Linked DNA regions of Macaca mulatta. The protein of the gene in region 3 interacts with the protein of the main gene of each other region in a biochemical or structural test. Links are inferred from orthologs where the notes say so. Each region holds a gene or a part of one and is shown on either strand. Other genes may lie near its edges.

What was found. The genes of interacting proteins can lie anywhere in the genome.
Region 1: the proteins of TRIM21 (region 3) and UBE2W are reported together in a solved structure, tested with the Homo sapiens proteins (2 studies listed by BioGRID, with this or other methods). The link is inferred for Macaca mulatta from reciprocal best matches to the Homo sapiens genes TRIM21 and UBE2W.
Region 2: of the proteins of TRIM21 (region 3) and USP4, one has a biochemical effect on the other in vitro, tested with the Homo sapiens proteins (2 studies listed by BioGRID). The link is inferred for Macaca mulatta from reciprocal best matches to the Homo sapiens genes TRIM21 and USP4.

The regions. Positions count from the first base shown.
Region 1 is NC_133413.1:84,449,701-84,455,440, forward strand, and holds the start of UBE2W (ubiquitin-conjugating enzyme E2 W), read right to left. Parts: upstream 3,488-5,740; coding exon 3,473-3,487; exon of another isoform or gene 2,203-3,472; intron 1-2,202. UniProt on the Homo sapiens protein: Accepts ubiquitin from the E1 complex and catalyzes its covalent attachment to other proteins.
Region 2 is NC_133407.1:112,777,085-112,782,539, forward strand, and holds the start of USP4 (ubiquitin carboxyl-terminal hydrolase 4), read right to left. Parts: upstream 3,488-5,455; 5' UTR 3,459-3,487; coding exon 3,358-3,458; intron 1-3,357.
Region 3 is NC_133419.1:71,425,737-71,431,387, forward strand, and holds the start of TRIM21 (E3 ubiquitin-protein ligase TRIM21), read left to right. Parts: upstream 1-2,339; 5' UTR 2,340-2,349; intron 2,350-5,651. UniProt on the Homo sapiens protein: E3 ubiquitin-protein ligase whose activity is dependent on E2 enzymes, UBE2D1, UBE2D2, UBE2E1 and UBE2E2.

The DNA.
Region 1 (5,740 bases), on a different chromosome or scaffold from region 3:
TGGACAGAACCTAAAAGATGGTTGAGACGCACTGACAGAATACATTAAAGCAGTTACTAGCTCAACTTTAAATACATACTCTCCAAAAGAAATTCAAAGTCTTACTTGTTTTACTGCATTGATCCTAAAGACTATTTAATTTTTATCAGGTAATGAAATCCCATGTTACATGTGTATAACATGGCATAAAAAAAAATACAGTTCCTCTTACAGCTTAAGTAACTTCTTCAGCAGCAGCAACACCTGGTGTGGGTAAGATAAAGAAATCTACTAAAAGCTTTTTGAGTAAGGACATGGTCATTCCATGTTACAGTTTATTTTTTCCTAATCGAAATCCCCAAATGATCAATTTCCTAGCCTTCCATGTTTTTTCTCCACTGCACTATCACCTTCTAATATAGTAACACACTTGGCCAGGTGCAGTGGCTCCCACCTGTAATCCTAGCACTTTGGGAGGCCGAAGCGAGAGGATCACTTGAGGTCAGGAGTTCAAGACCAGCCTGGCCAGCATAGCGAAACCCAGTCTCCACGAAAAACACAAAAAAATTACCTGGTCGTGGTGGCCAGCACCCGTAATCCCAGCTACTCAGGAGGCTAAGTAGGAGAATTGCTAGAACCCTGGGAGCAGAGGTTGCAGCGAGCCGTGATTGCACCACTACACTCCAGAATGGGCGACACAGTGAGACTCCATCTCAACACAAAAAACAAAAAACAATTAACTTAAATATGCTGTTATTATCTGTCTCTTCTTACCAGACTATTTATTATTAAATCCATGAGGGCAAAAATCTTGTTCGCTTTTGTTCATTGCTATAACCGCGGCACCTAGATAAGTGTCTGACACACAGAGGGCCCCCAAAAGGTAACTGGCTCAGTGATTAAACAAATTTGATAATTTGATTGAAGATTTATGTATAATCTAGTTGTCTTAAAAGAGCCAGATGTTGCCATTAAGATAGGATATAAATTCTGTACAACAAAGATACAGAATAACCACACAGAAAGTAGGGCTGTCTTTCAAAAAGCCTGACTTATACATATTTAAATATTCTTAAAGATACTACCAGAAAATCTGCACTAGATATTTTAAAATACAAACAAAAGGAAAAGACTTTTTACTTTAATAAAAAGAGTTAAGCATCCATTTTCCATTCCTCTAACCAGAAAACACAGAAGAATAGAGAGTGATAAGATTTAGATGGAATAAGGTGAAGGAAAAACTTCAAAGAGTGGTAAGACAGTCTGAGGTAATACTTAGGGCACAGAAAAATGCACTATTGCACTATCAATCAAGTATTTGTTTCCATTGCTTAAGACATCATGTAGGCCGGGCACGGTGGCTCACACCTGTAATCCCAGCACTTTGGGAGGCTGAAGTGGGCGGATCACCTGAGGTCGGGGGTTCAAGTCCAGCTTGACCAACATGGAGAAACTCCTGTCTCTACTAAAAATACAAAATTAGCTGGGCGTGATGGCCAATGCCTGTAATCCCAGCCACTCGGGAGGCTGAGGCAGGAGAATCACTTGAACCCGGGAGGCGGAGGCTGCGGTGAGCCGAGATCGCCCCCACTGCACTCCAGCCTGGACAACAAGAGCTAAACTCCGTCTCAAAAAAAAAAAAAAAAAAAAAAAAAAAAAGACACCATGTAAAGTTCAACATTACCAACCTTTCTCTTACAAACAAATCTGCCTTTTCCAGATACTAAATCTAACCAGATGGCACACTACGTTCTCTTGTCAAATATTATCACGAGTGTTGTGGATTTTAATCTTAATTTTTACTCTCAAATAATGTTTTAATCTTAATACAGATAATCTTAAACTTGTCATAAAAAATGTTTTAATCTTAACACAGATAAAAATCTTTAAGTGGTCATGTAGCCTATTGCATCTACTGTTCAACTAGCATTCCACAGTTCCTTTTCTTGGCCTCAAATGACGAAACTTCTCTAACGTCTCTGGGGGACTAGTGTAAAGTATAATGTTTCCTGAAATTGTTCCTGTTTTTTTCCCTGCACCATTCGTGACATCTCTTCAACTAGAAATGTTACATAAAACTTTTCTGTTCTGCAGGCAAGTCCAGAGGGAGAAGCAAAAGTAAAGAGAATATTGTAAGGAAAACAGGTTGAAAGGGGAATAACATAAAAGCACAGGAGTAAATGTGAAGCAAAGATATATTTGTACAAAAGAGGAAGAAGTTGCAGAAAAGGGAAGAAAAACACTTTTAGCAGAGAAAAGAAAAAAAAATGGAGGAGGAACAGAGACTTGCTTCTTTCAGAAACAAAAGCAAAAAACACTTCTAAGAAAACGTGGTCTCTTTACCCAAGGGGATATTATTAAAACGCTAAAGAGTATTCAGCTGACACTCCTATTGAGTGTTCTACTTTCTCTTCCAATGTCTTTGATACCGCTAGTCTTCACCTATGAATTAAATGCAGGCTATAGATAACGCAGCCAATCTCTACAAAACTACAATTGTGGTTGCCATCTTTGCCTGAAAACAAAAACACAAAAAACCCGCAACTCCCTGAATTCGGGAAAAAGGAGTAAATTAAGTTGGAAAGCCAGAAAACCACGCCTTGCTAAGTCGGGTGGATGTGGCACAGGTTAACAAACGCCTCCTACCAAACTAAGGTTCCACTAAAGGTCTGCGAATAAGGGCAAAGAGATGTATAGCCTTATCGCGACCGCAAGGGTGGGGCCTTGTAGGGGGAAACAAAATAAAGGGCGAGCTATCCCGAAAGGTTTCAGGGGGCTGAGGACTTGGCTCTCGGGAGATCGCCCATCAGGCAGTGGACTCGGGGCAGCTTCGAGAGGAGGAGACACTGGACTGCTGAAGTAATGTCCGCGAGAATGCCGAGGCTGATGGAAAGAGCGGATACCCACGGGCACAGGATTAAGAGTCAAAGGGAAGAAGAGAGAGACGGGGCCAAGCAGTCTGGGGGGCCCGGCGTGGGAGGCCGGAGCAGAGGCCGCTAAGCGCCGTCCGCAGCCAGTCGCCTTCTCCGGAGACGCCTTCTCGGCTCCCCCACACTCAGCCCCTCGCCGCCCCTGCCCCGGCAACAACCGCGGGCGCAGCTGTTTCCGTCGGGCCAGGGACAGCGGGGGTAAAGGCAACCCTGGGACTGGCGGGCAGCAGACTGGCAGTGGCCGTGTGTGTGTGTGTGTGTGCGCGGGGAGCCGATTCTGAGGCTGCCAACACCAGACTTCGCCCTTTCTCCCCCAAGCCTCCTTTATCACCCAACTTCCCGGCCGGCTGGTGTCCGCTTCGACCGACGGATACCGCACCCCCCCAACGCCTCTCGCCGCCTCTTACCCCTCCCCCGACGCCCTGAGCTGAAGGAAAACAAGCCACCCGGGCCGATCCCGAACCCGCCCGGGTGTCCCCGAATCGCGGACGCCACCCCCGCCCGAACGCTGGCACTCTCTCGGCGGCTCCCTGGCCCGCCCAGATGCAGCAAACTCCTCTCACCTGCATTGACGCCATGATGGAACCATCCCCCCAAGACCGGCGAGGCCAGAGACGCAGGGGGAGGAGCTGCCGTGCTCGCGTCACGCCGCGGGGGCTCAACATCCCGGGCGCGGAGGCGGGGCCTACGATGGGAAGGTGATGGCGCGAGGGGATTGGCTGGCGCGCAGGGCGGACGGGAGGAGGGGCTAGGGGGCGGGGCGAGGACGTGGTAAATGGCGCTCCGAGTACCTTCGGTCTCAGTCCGGTTCGCCGCTCCCGCGTCGGTCTTCCGTTTACTCTGGTTACTGAGGAGACACGGCTCCAGTTTTGACCCGGCTACGGTTGTTTTCTTCTTGTGTACCGCGTAATCCTGATGCCGTCCGGATCAGCTCAGATTTTTTTCTATTTCGTTTTGGTTTTCCAAACACAGCTGTGCGGTTCACAGATTTTTCTCTTGGGATGTGTTTTCCATACCGTCAAGCCCACTCTGAGAGCCTTGGGGCCCCATGAAACTTCCCGCGCAGCTGCTTTCTGGTCCTTGTAGACCTGGAAAGCTTCTTGTATTCTTAATCTGGGGAAGAGAGACATAGGTTTCCTTGTACAACAGGATGAGGATTAAAGAGCAAAACGACACTGATATTTTAAAGGCGAGGGTATTTAGATTTGTGGAGCTGAAACTTGCCTGAAAGGGGAGAGAAAATTTGGAAGTTTGTTGTGTACAGTTTCTGCCCCTTACCCCAGCCCTTCAGTTTTAAACTTCGCATGTATCAACAGTAGTTACGGTTGTTGCGGCAGTCTAAATTTGATTATCAGAATTGACCCTAGGCATGAATTTTTTAAAATATACTGAATTTTTAAAAATATACCAGTGTTGTGTTATATACACTTAGACCATTATGTCCAGACTTCTCTTAAGCCTATTTCGTGGTGGGCAGTTTTGTGGTCAGTTAGGGATGAACTTGGGTAGGGAAAGCTGAGCATACATAATTTATTTTAGGAATGCACCAGTTCTGCCAACATTTATCAGAAGTCACGTTTTAAAAAAGCTATTCTGGAACTGAAGATGTCATTGGTTTATAAGAGGAAAATGGAAGCCAAAAGCTTGCACCTCATGCTCTATCTTTAAAAATTAAGGTGGCAGACACAATGAGTAGAAGGCTTTTATGTTACCAGAATGAAGGCTTAAAATCTGTCATTTTATTGACTCGGCTTTCTTTTTAGAAATTTCTTTAAGATATAAAAGCAATGCAGAATATCACTGTTTCACACTCTTAAAATAGATTACGTTCTCTGGAACTTCTCTAATCTGAAATGTGTTCAAAAAGGAAAAAGATCTTTAAAATACGCCAGTTAGTCTATGGCATAATATTAAACACTACTCATCACTAGAGAAGTTACGGTGGTATACCCTCCCCTCTCTCAGATGTCCACCCTAATGCCAGAAATGAGCGGAGTTTCCCTTTGTTGTGCAAAATGACTGTGTCCTTGAGGGATGTTTGGATGCTCTTGGTAAACCGGAATCAACCAGAAGCATATCCGGTGTTAGCCCTGTTGTGTCATCAACATTACAACAGTGAGGAAACCCACGTATCCCAATGAAGGAGGAAAACTTAAAGAAGTTTCCAGTATATTTTCTTTGAGATGTCTTTATTTCTGTGACCTCAGAAGATCAGGTTTTACTGTCCAAGGTTCACTTTGCCTAAAAGCTGATTGTTCCTATGGAAAAAGTAGTGTCGGATGACCCTACAAACAAAGCATTATGACATCGTCAGAGCCAACAACCTACCATGACAGATACTAATGAGGAAAAAAGAGGTTACAAGAATTCTGACACTCATCACAGTGGAACCAGTATCTGGTCCCTTGGGTTTCATATATGTTAGAAGTATCTTCACAGGAGGGAAAGGTCAATGCCAGTAATCCTTTCTAGGTAATACTAAATAGCACATAATAACCTGTCTTCTTTTTTTTTTTTTTTTTTGAGACGGAGTCTCACTCTGTCACCCAGGCTGGAGTGCAATGGCGCGATCTTGGCTCACTGCAACCTCCGCCTCCCAGGTTCAAGTGATTCTCCTCTCTCAGCCTCCCAAGTAGGTGGGATTACAGGTACACACCACCATGCCCAGCTAATTTTTTGTAATTTTTTGTATCTTTAGTAGAGATGAGGTTTCACCATGTTGGCCAGCCTGGTCTTGAACTTCTGACCTCGTAATCCACCTGCCTCAGCCTCCCAAAGGGCTGGGATTACAGGTGTGAACCACTGCGCCCAGCCATTCTTTTGTTAATATT
Region 2 (5,455 bases), on a different chromosome or scaffold from region 3:
GAACCCGGGGGGACAGAAGTTGCAATGAGCTGAGATCACGCCATTGCATTCTAGCCTGGCTGACAGGAATAAAAACCTGTCTCAAAAAAAAAAGTATATAACATGCGTGTACATATATAAATATACACATACACATGTACATATAATAGCACTTAGGTATGTTCATCTTGTCAAAAAGCATTAAGTTGTGCTTCATATTCAACTTACCACTTTTTTACTTAAATGTAAGCAAATGTGGTATTTTATTTATCTATTTATTTCCTTAGAGAGAGGGTCACCCAGGCTAGAGTGCAGTGGCACAATCATAGCTCTCTGTAGCCTCAAACTCCTGGGCTCAAGTGATCCTCCTGCCTCAGCCTCTGAGTAGCTATGACTATAGGTACATACCACCATGCCTGGCTAATTTATTTTTTTATTTTTATTTTGTAGAGGCTAGGTCTTGCTATGTTGCCCAGGCTGATCTTGAACTCCTGGCCTCAAGTGATCTTCCTGCTTCAGCCTCCCAAAGTGCTGGGATTACAGACATGAGACATTGTGCCAGACCTATTTATATTTTTAAAGTATCACTATGCTGGCTGGGAGAGGTGGCTCATGTCTGTAATCCCAACACTTTGGGAGGCTGAGGCAGGTGGATCACGAGGTCAGGAGATCAAGACCATCCTGGCCAACATGGTGAAACCCCGTCTCTACTAAAAACACAAAAATTAGCCGGGCGCGGTGGCTCAAGCCTGTAATCCCAGCACTTTGGGAGGCTGAGACGGGCGGATCACAAGGTCAGGAGATCGAGACCATCCTGGCTAACACGGTGAAACCCCGTCTCTACTAAAAAATACAAAAAGCTAGCCGGGCGAGGTGGCGGGCGCCTGTAGTCCCAGCTACTCGGGAGGCTGAGGCAGGAGAATGGCGTGAACCCGGGAGGCGGAGCTTGCAGTGAGCTGAGATCCGGCCACTGCACTCCAGCCTGGGCTACAGAGCAAGACTCCGTCTCAAAAAAAAAAAAAAATAAATAAATAAATAAATAAAAACACAAAAATTAGCCGGGCGTGGTGGTGCCTGCCTATAATCTCAGTTACTAGGGAGGCTGAAGCAGGAGAATCGCTTGAACCCGGAAGGCAGAGATTGCAGTGAGCTGAGATCATGCCACTGTACTCCTCCAGCCTGGCAACACAGCGAGACTCCGTCTCAAAAAAAAAAAAAAAAAAAAGTATCACTCTGGGGTTTTACAATTAAAACAGAATCTCTGTGGAGCAACAAAGCATCAACAATTATATTGGTGCATCCTTAAAACTGTATAACCAACAAATGTGAGAGGAGTTCAGGCAACTTCCCAGAGGTCACAAGGATCCATAAACACATCCGTCTCGAAAATGCTATTTTTCTTCCAAATCCCTTGAGCAATACCTTCCATACAATTTTACTGTATGATTTTAGTCTTAAACTTCCTCTGCTTCTGCTGAGTATTCTTTATGAGCCCTATACAGGTTAACTTGAGAAGTACCTCTGCTAGGCCAGGCGTGGTAGCTCTAGCCTATAATCCCAGCACTTTGGGAGGCCAAGGCGGGTGAATCACTTGAGGTCGGGAGTTTGAGACAAGCCTGACCAAAATGGAGAAACCCTGTCTCTACTAAAAATACAAAAAAAAATTAGCCGGGCATAGTGGCGCATGCCTGTAATCCTAGCTACTGGGGAGGCTGAGGCAGGAGAATCACTTGAACCCTGGAGGCACAGGTTGCCGTGAGCCGAGATCACGCCATTGCACGCCAGCCTGGGCAACAAGAGCGAAATTCCTCAAAAAAAAAAAAAAAAAAAAAAAAAAAACCCACAAAAAAAGTACCTGTTTACTCTGACTTTCACAAACTGGCTAGCTCAAGGTGAATACATAAGCTGTTATCTGTACTCCTCATAACCCCAATTTTTCTATCCTCCAGCTCAATTCCTCTGTAGGTCATCACCACAATGGTTTCTTTTTTTTTTTTTTTTTTTTTGAGACGGAGTCTCGCTCTGTCGCCGGGGCTGGAGCGCAGTGGCGGGATCTCAGCTCACTGCAAGCTCCGCCTCCCGGGTTTACGCCATTCTCCTGCCTCAGCCTCCTGTGTAGCTGGGACTACAGGCGCCCGCCACCTCGCCCGGCTAGTTTTTTGTATTTTTTTAGTAGAGACGGGGTTTCACCATGTTAGCCAGGATGGTCTCGATCTCCTGACCTCGTGATCCGCCCGTCTCGGCCTCCCAAAGTGCTGGGATTACAGGCTTGAGCCACCGCGCCCGGCCCACAATGGTTTCTTAAAGATGGGTAACACTCGGGCCGGGCACGGTGGCTCCCACCTGTAATGGGAGGCAGAGGCGGCTGGATCACAAGGTCAGGAGTTCGAGACCAGCCTGCTCAGCATGGTGAAACCCAGTCTGTACTAAAAATACAAAAAATTAGCTGGGCATGGTGGTGTGAGCCTGTAATCCCAGCTACTCGGGAGGCTGAGGCAGGAGAATCGCTTGAACCCGGGAGGCGGAAGTTGCCGTGAGCCGAGATGGCGCCACTGCACTCCAGCTTGGGCAATAACAGTGAAACTCTGTCTCAAAAAATCAAACAAACAAAAAAACAAGATGGGTAACACTCAATCATACTAAATGCAAAGTCTAGCCTTAGTTTTTGTACTACACAATAATACCACCCAGGAATCTCTCCAGTAGTACAAAGTATTGTCCCCTCCACCAAACAATCTGTTAAGATGTCCAATAACTCAGCCTGGGTCTTCTAAATTCTGGACTCCTCATCTTCTATCTAGCTCCAGGACCTAGGCTATCCCCCTCTCCCACTCCGAGATACTGCTGTCACAAATATTTTTGACACTTGCTACCAAAATAATCTGGGGCTCTCAGACATTTGTTCAGCTTCTGACCTTGACATCTGTTGGCAGTTTACAAGTTACAAAGTACTTCTGATTTTCGCCTCAACCCACTGAGGGCGGAGAGCCAAATATTGCTATCCTGGTTTTAACAGTGAGGAATCCAGGTCTGTGACACCTTCGCCCAAGGTCACACGGCGAGTCCTCATGGTAAAGGGCTCTCCCCACCCTCAGGGTCCCCGCCAACATTCCCCTTCTCCACATCCATCCCCCTAGCCCCCGCCGGGCCCACCCACTGGGGCTCCAAATGAGCCGAGGCGACCCTCAGGCCCCGCCTGCGCTTTCCCAGAGCTGATCCTGGAGTTCTCCCGAGGGGCAGGTGTCAGGCTACTCTTCCAGGGTCACTACATACCATCCCCGCCCAGCCCCTACTGTAGCCGAGAAAAAGGGGGCTGGCCTAAGGGCCAGATACTCGGCCCCTGGTTCTGCACAGAGGAAGAGAGAGCCGGATGCTCACCACTGCGCGCCGCGTTGGAGTGTGGTCCTCATTAAGGCTCCAAGCTCCGACTTCTGAGTCTCCGCATCCGGTCGCTCACCGAAGCCTCCACCTTCCGCCATCTCGTCCGCGGCCCCGGCCCAGCCGGCCCGGACATCCGCCCCGCGCGCGGCGTGCTATAGACCGCGCCCACGCACGCACGCACGCACGCTCGCGTGCCCGCCCCTGCCCCACCTCGTGCCGCGGCCTTCGGCTCCTGCAGCCGCTGTCTTTTATCCCCTCCAGTCTCGCGCCACTTCGCTCACCGGCAAACAGTGGAGCGAAAAGGCAGATGCGAGAGGGGTGGGTGGGGAGCAGCAGCTGCTACTTCGTCCCGCCCTGCCGCCTGCTACGCGGTCGTCGGGCGCCCCTTCCTCTGCTCAGGATGGCGCTACAGGATGAAGCTCTGTTCAGCCCGCCGATCTCAGGGAGTCAGACAGCAAGCCCACGACCCATGGGGCACCCTAGCCCGGCCTTCGAGGTTATCCTGGTCCTAAATAAATGCAGGCCAGGTGCGAGAAGCCCCGTAGTTAGGTCTGTTCATTCTCACCCCTGCCATTCCGCTTTCAGCTGGAGGCCTTAGGCGAGTCAGCTGCCCAAACGTGGGATCCGGGCTCCTGCTCCAGCGGCCCTAACAGGGATTTCGGGAAGTACCACGTGCATCAGCGCCTTGGGACTAAGACTGAACGGTGTGCTGTAGTTATTAACAGTCGCCTTAAACAATCTGGACGCCAGAGCCACCTGGCCCACCTGAGAATTCCGTCAGCTCTTCATACTGAGCTACTTGCCAAGCAGCCACAGAGGGGCGATAGCAACAGGGGAAGGAGAGGTATTCCACATTAGTTACCCAGGCATGTACTTAGTTCCTGGAACAAGATACAACGTCCTGAACACTGTGTTTTCCAGTCGCCCCGCTCACACAAACACACAACCCTCTTCCTGGAGGGAGAAATAAACCCAGAGGAAAGAGGAAGTCAGGTCTAGATGAGTCTCCATACACTTGTCTAACAGTTCTTGTCCTCAGAGAAAAATAAGACCTAGTTCCTGCCCTCATAGAATCTAGTGGAAGAGTAGAGATGTTTCAGAAATAACCTCAATGCCTAGCAGTATGTGGTAAGTGCAATTAAAGGGTGTGAACCAGGCCAGGTGCAGTGGTTCAAGCCTGTCGTCCCAGCACTTTGGAAGGCTGAGGCGGGAGGATAGCTTTAGCCCAGGAGTTAGAGACCAGCCTCCGCAACATGGCGAAATCCTGTCTCTACAAAAATTAGCCGGGAGGTGGCGCGCGTCTGTGGTCCCAGGTACTCGGGAGGCTGAGGTAGAAGGATCCCTTGAGCCCAGGAGGTCGAAGTTGCAGTGAGTCGAGATGGTGCCACTTCTCTCGAGACTGGACGGCAAAGTGAGACCCTGTCTCAAAAAAACAGTAAATACAAATAAGGGGTGTGAACCGGCCAGGCGCGGTGGCTCACGCCTGTTATCCTAGCACTTTGGGAGGCCGAGGCAGGCAGATCACCTGAGGTCGGGAGTTCGAGACCAGCCTGACCAACGTGGAGACGGAAATGTCCTCTCAAAAAAAAAAAAGTGCTGGGCGCCCGGCAGGGCAGTTCATGCTTGTAATCCCAGGACTTTGGGAGGCCATGGCGGGCAGATCACGAGGTTAGGAGTTCGAGACCAGCATGGCTAATATGGTGAAACCCCATCTCTACCAAAAATACAAAAAAAAGTTAGCCAGGCGTGGTGGCGCATGTCTATAGTCTGAGCTACTCGGGAGGCAGAGGCAGAAGAATTGCTTGAACCCAGGAGGCGGAGGTTGCAGTGAGCCAAGATTGCACCACTGTACTCCAGCCTGAGCGACAGAGTGAGACCCCCTCTAAAAGAAAAAAACAAAAAAGGCCGGGCGCGGTGGCTCAAGCCTGTAATCCCAGCACTTTGGGAGGCCGAGATGGGCGGATCACGAGGTCGGGAGATCGAGACCATCCTGGCGAACACGGTGAAACCCCGTCTCTACTAAAAAAATACAAAAAACTAGCCGGGCGAGGTGGCGGGCGCCTGTAGTCCCAGCTACTCCGGAGGCTGAGGCAGG
Region 3 (5,651 bases):
TTGATGGCTTAAAAGTGTGTGGCACTTTTGCCTTCACACTCTCTCCTGCCATGTGAAGAAGTGCTTGTTTTCCCTTTGCCTTCTACCATGATTGTAACTTTCTTATGGCCTCCCAGTCATGCTTCCTGTTAAGTCTGTTGGACTGTGAGTCAAACCTCTTCTTAAATTACCCAGTCTCAGATAGCACCTTATAGCAATGTAAGGACAGACTGATACAATGGTCATACCAATTTGCATTTCATCAACAGCATACAAGGGTTTTCTTTTCTCCTTTACTTGGCCTACAGAAAGACTTAGACAACCACAAAATAATAGTGGGAGATTTCAACACCCCACCAATAGCATTAGACAGATCATTGAGACAGAAACTAACAAACTCTGGACTTAAACTCAACACTCAGAAAACTGGACCTAATAGACATCTACAGAACACCCCATAACCATGGAATATGTTCTTCTCATCTGCACATGGACCATATTCTGAGATTAACCACATACTTGGTCATGAAGCAAGTCTCAAGTTCAAAAAAAATGAAATCATACCAAGCACACCCTTGGATCACAGGTCAATAAAAATGGAAACCAATATCAAAAAGCTCTCTCAACTACACAAATGCATGGAAACTAAACAACTTACTCCTAAATAACTTCTAAGCAAACATCTAAATTAAGGCAGAAACTTAAAATTCTTTGAAATTAACAAAGATGGAGATACAATTTACCAAAATCTCTAAGATGCAGCCAAAGCAGTAAGAGAAAAGTTTATAGCCCTAAATACCTTCATCAAGAAGTTGCAAAGGGCTCAAATTAACAATCTAACTTTGTACCTTAAAAGGACTAGGAAAAAAATTCCCAGTGCCAGCAGAAGAAAAACATTAGAGAAAAACCTAATGAAATTAAGATACAAAAAATCCAAACAAAAGGTCGATAAACCCAAGAATTCTTTGGGGGGGAAATAAACCACAACTAATAGACCCTTAACTAGATTGAGATCCAAATAAGCATAATGAAATAACAAAGATAATATTACAACTGATCCCAAAGAAATGCAGAAGATCCCCAGAGACTACTATGAATGTCTTTAAGCACACAAATTAGAAAATTCACAGTGAATCAAGAGATTGAAACCCTGAAAAGCTTCAGAAATTGAATCAGTAGTAAAGAAGTTCTTAATCAATGTTAATGTCCAAGATATGATTTACGGCCCAAAGTGTGGTCTACTTGGTGAATATTCTACTTGGTTTACTTAAAGAATGTATATTCTACTGTTTAAATATATTGTGTGCATTTCGATTGAATACTGTTGGTTAAAATATGTTCAGTGTTAACTGGCTTTTCTATTTTTTCCCCATACCCTTATCTGCTGGATGCATTACTGATGGAGAAAGGCATTAATCTCAACCTTTAATAATGGATTTACCTATTTCTTTCAGTTCAGTTTTTTGCCTCACATATCTTGATCTATTGTGGGTACATACACACTAAAAATTCGTCTTTTCATAGACTTGACATCATTATCATACATTCCCTTTTATGCATAATAATATTGCTTTCTCTGGAGTTTGCTTTGACTGTAGTTGATATAGCTATTCCAGGTTAATTCTTTTAATTTTTAATTTTTGTGTGTACATAGTAGGTACATTTTAATGAGGTAAATAAGATGTTTTGATACAGATATGCAATACATAACACTCACATCATGGAGAGTGGGGTATCCAATCCCTCAAGCATTTATCCTTTGTGTTAAACAATTCAATTACTTAGTTACTTTGAAATGTGCTGTAACATTATTGTTAACTCGTCACCCTGTTGTGCTATTAAATAATAGATTTTATTCATTCTATTTTTTTACCCATTCACCATCCCCACCTTACCCCTCCTGTAACCTTCCCAATGCCACAGATAATTAAGAACATACAATATTTGTTTTTCTGTGCCTGTGCTACTTCACTTAACATTTTCATTTCCATCTATGTTGTTGCAAATGACAGGATCTCATTCTTATACACAATGGACCACTATTCATTTATATGTGCCACATTTATTTTATTCATCTGTTGATGGACACTTAGGTTGCTTCTAAATCTTTGCTATTGTGAACAGTGCTTCAAGAAAAATGCGAATAAAAAAATTTCTTCAATATACTGATATCATTTCTTTTAGATATTGTATTAGTCCATTTTCACACTACCATAAAGAATACCTGAGACTGAGTAATTTATAAAGGAAAGAAGTTTAATCGATTTAAAGTTCTGCGTGGCTGGGGAGGTCTCAGGAAACTTATGGCAGAAGGCAAGGGGGAAGCAGGCACCTTCTTCACAAAGCAGCAGAAGAACAGCAAGCAGGGGGAATTGCCAAATGCTTTTAAATCATCAGATTTCATGAGAACTCCCTCATTATCATGAGAACAGCATGAGGGAAACTGCCCTCATGATCCAACTGCCTCCCACTAGATTCTTCCCCAACATGTGGGGATTACAAATCAAGATGAGATTTGGGTGGAGACACAGCAAAATTACATCAACTATATACCCAGCAGTGGATTGCTGGACCATATGGTAGCTCTATTTTTAGTTTTTTGAAGAACCTCCAAACTGTTCTCCAGAATGGCTGTACTAATTTACATTTCCATCAACAGTGAATGAGGGTTCTCTTTTCTTGACATCCTCGCCAGCATTTGTTAGTGCCTGTCTTTTTTATATAAGACATTTTAACTGGGATGAGATTTATAGTTTTGATTTTCATTGCTCTGATCAGTAATGTTTAATGCCTTTTCATGCCTGTTTGCCATTTGTATGTCATCTTTTGAGAAATGTCTATTCAAATATTTTGCCCTTTTTTGGTTCAGATTACTAGGTTTTATTTCATATAGAGTTTGAGCTCTTTATTCTGGCTATTAATCGGATACATCATTAGATTTTTTTTAAAAGTTTTTCATCTTTTTTGATGTATGCAGTTACATCTATAAACTTCCCTCTTGCTGCTTTCACTATATCCTGTGAATTTTGGTATGTTGTTTCTATTTGTTTCAAGAAACTTTTCAATTTAATTTTTTCGTTGACCACTGGTCATTCAGGAGTGTATTGTTTAATTTCCATGTAGTTGTATAGTTTCCAAAATTCTTATTATTAACTTATAGTTTTAGTTCACTGCTGTCAGAGAAGATGCTTGACATTTGTACTGGTCAGGGTTCTCTAGAGAGACAGAACTAGTAGGATAGGTGTCTATATGAAAGGGAGTCTATTAAGGAGTATTAACTCACATGATCACAAGGTGAAGTCCCACAATAGACTGTCTGCAAGCTGAGGATCAAGGAAACCAGTCCAAGTCCCCAAACCTTAAAAGGAGGGAAACTGACAGTACAGTCTTCAGTCTGTGGCTGAAGGTCCCTAGTAAATCACTGGTGTAAGTCTAAGAGTCCAAAAGCTGAAGAACTTGGAGTCTGATGTTTGAGGGCAGGAAGAAGCACAGGAGAAAGATAATATCTGGAAGACTCAGCAAGTCTGCTTTATTCTAGCCACACTGGCAGTTGATTAGATGGTGCCCACTCACATTGAGAGTGGTTCTGCCTTTCCAAGTCCACTGACTCAAATGTTAATCTCCTTCAGCAACACCCTCACAGACACACCCAGGAACAATACTTTGCATCCTTCAATACAATCAAGTTGACATTTGTTAACTATCACAACATTATTTCAACTTTTTGAATGTGTTAGCACCTGTTTTGTAACCTAACATACGGTCTATCCTGGAATAATCCATGTGCTGAGGAAAAGAATGTGTATTTTGTAGTAACTGCACAAAATGTTCTCTAAATGTTCTCTATTAGGTCCATTTGGTCTATAGTGCAGATCGAGTCCAGTATTTCTTTTTCTGTCTGGAAGATTTGTCCAATGCTGAAAGTGGGGTGAAGTCTCCAGCTATTATTGTATTGGGGCCTACCTTCTTTAGCTCTAATATTTGCTCTATGTATCTGAGTCCTTCAGTGTTGGGTGCATATATATTTAAAATTGTTGTAACCTCTTGCACAACTTGACCTCCTTATCATTACATAGCAACCTTTGCCTCTTAGTTTTCATCTTAATCTACTTTGTCTGATGTAACTATTCTCATTCTTTTTTGGTATCTATTGGCATGGAATATTTCTCTTCATCTCTGTATTTTCAGTCTGTCTTTATAGATGAAGTGTTTCTTCTAGGCGACAGATCACTAGGTCTTGTTTTTATCATCCATTCAGCCACTCTTTTGACTAGAGAGTTTAGTCCATTTATGTTTAATGCTACTGATAAGTAAGGACGTAACTCCATCTTGCTGTTTTCTTGTTGTACAGTCTTCTCTTCCTCCTTTCCTTCCTGTCTCACTTTAGTGAAGGTAATTTTTTTTTTTTGAGGTGGAGTCTTGCTCTGTTGTCCAGGCTGGAGTGCAGTGGCATGATCTTGGCTCACTGCAAACTCTGCTTTACAGGTTCAAGCAGTTCTCCCACCTCAGCCTCCCAAGTAGCTGGGATTACAGGTGCCTGCCACCACGCCTGGCTACTTTTGTATTTTTACTAGACATAGGGTTTCACCATGTTGGCCAGGCTGGTCTCGAATTCCTGACCTCAGGTGATCCACCCACCTTGGCCTCTCACAGTGCTAGGATTACAGCCATGAGCTACCATGCCTGGCCAGGAATTTTTTTTCCTCTGGTAATATGACTAATTTATTGTTTTTTGTGTATCTATTGTAGGATTTTGGTTTGAAAGTACCATGAGGCTTCAAATACTATCTTTACAACCCATTTTTTATGCCAATTATATCTTAATCCTGTTCACATAAATAAGAAAAAACTAAAACTAAAACTTTGTTCCTGTGTTAGTCTGTTCTCACACTGCTAATAAAGACATACCTAAGACTGGGTAACTTATAAGGAAAAAAAAAAGGTTTAATGGACTCACAGTTCCATATGGTTGTAGAAGTCTCACAATCATGATGGAAGGCAAAGAAGGAGCAAAGGCACATTGTACATGGCAGCAGGCAAGAGAGAATGTGCAGGAGAACTGCCCTTTATAAAACCATCAAATCTCATGAGACATTCACTATCACAAGAACAGCATGGGAAAAACCTACCCACCCCCATGATTTAATTACCTCCCACAACATATGGGGATTATGGGAGCTACAATTGAAGATGAGATTTGGGTGGAGACACAGCTAGACCATATAATCTCCTGACTTTTTAATGTTTTATTTCTATCTTATTGTACTATTTCTTAAAGATGTTATTTTTGATCATCTTTTAGTCCTTCTACTTAGCATAAGAGTAGTCTCCACATCAGTTAGTATAATTATATTCTTTGTTTTTCTATGTACTTACTATTACCAGTGAGCAGATAATTTCTTCTTGCTCATTAACATCTTTCCTTTCTGATTGAAGTATTATTCTAGCATTTCTTGTAAGACAAGTCTGGTGTTGATTAAATCCTTCAGCTTTTGTTTGGGAAATTCTTATCTCTTTTTGACATTTGAAGAATATTTTTGTCAGGTATATTCTGGAATAAGTCTCTTTTCCTTCAGCTCTTTAAATATGTTTTGGTCTGTATGGTTTCCACTAAAAAGTCTGCTGCCAGATATATGAAAGCTCCATTGTATACTTTCTCAGGGACTAGAGTC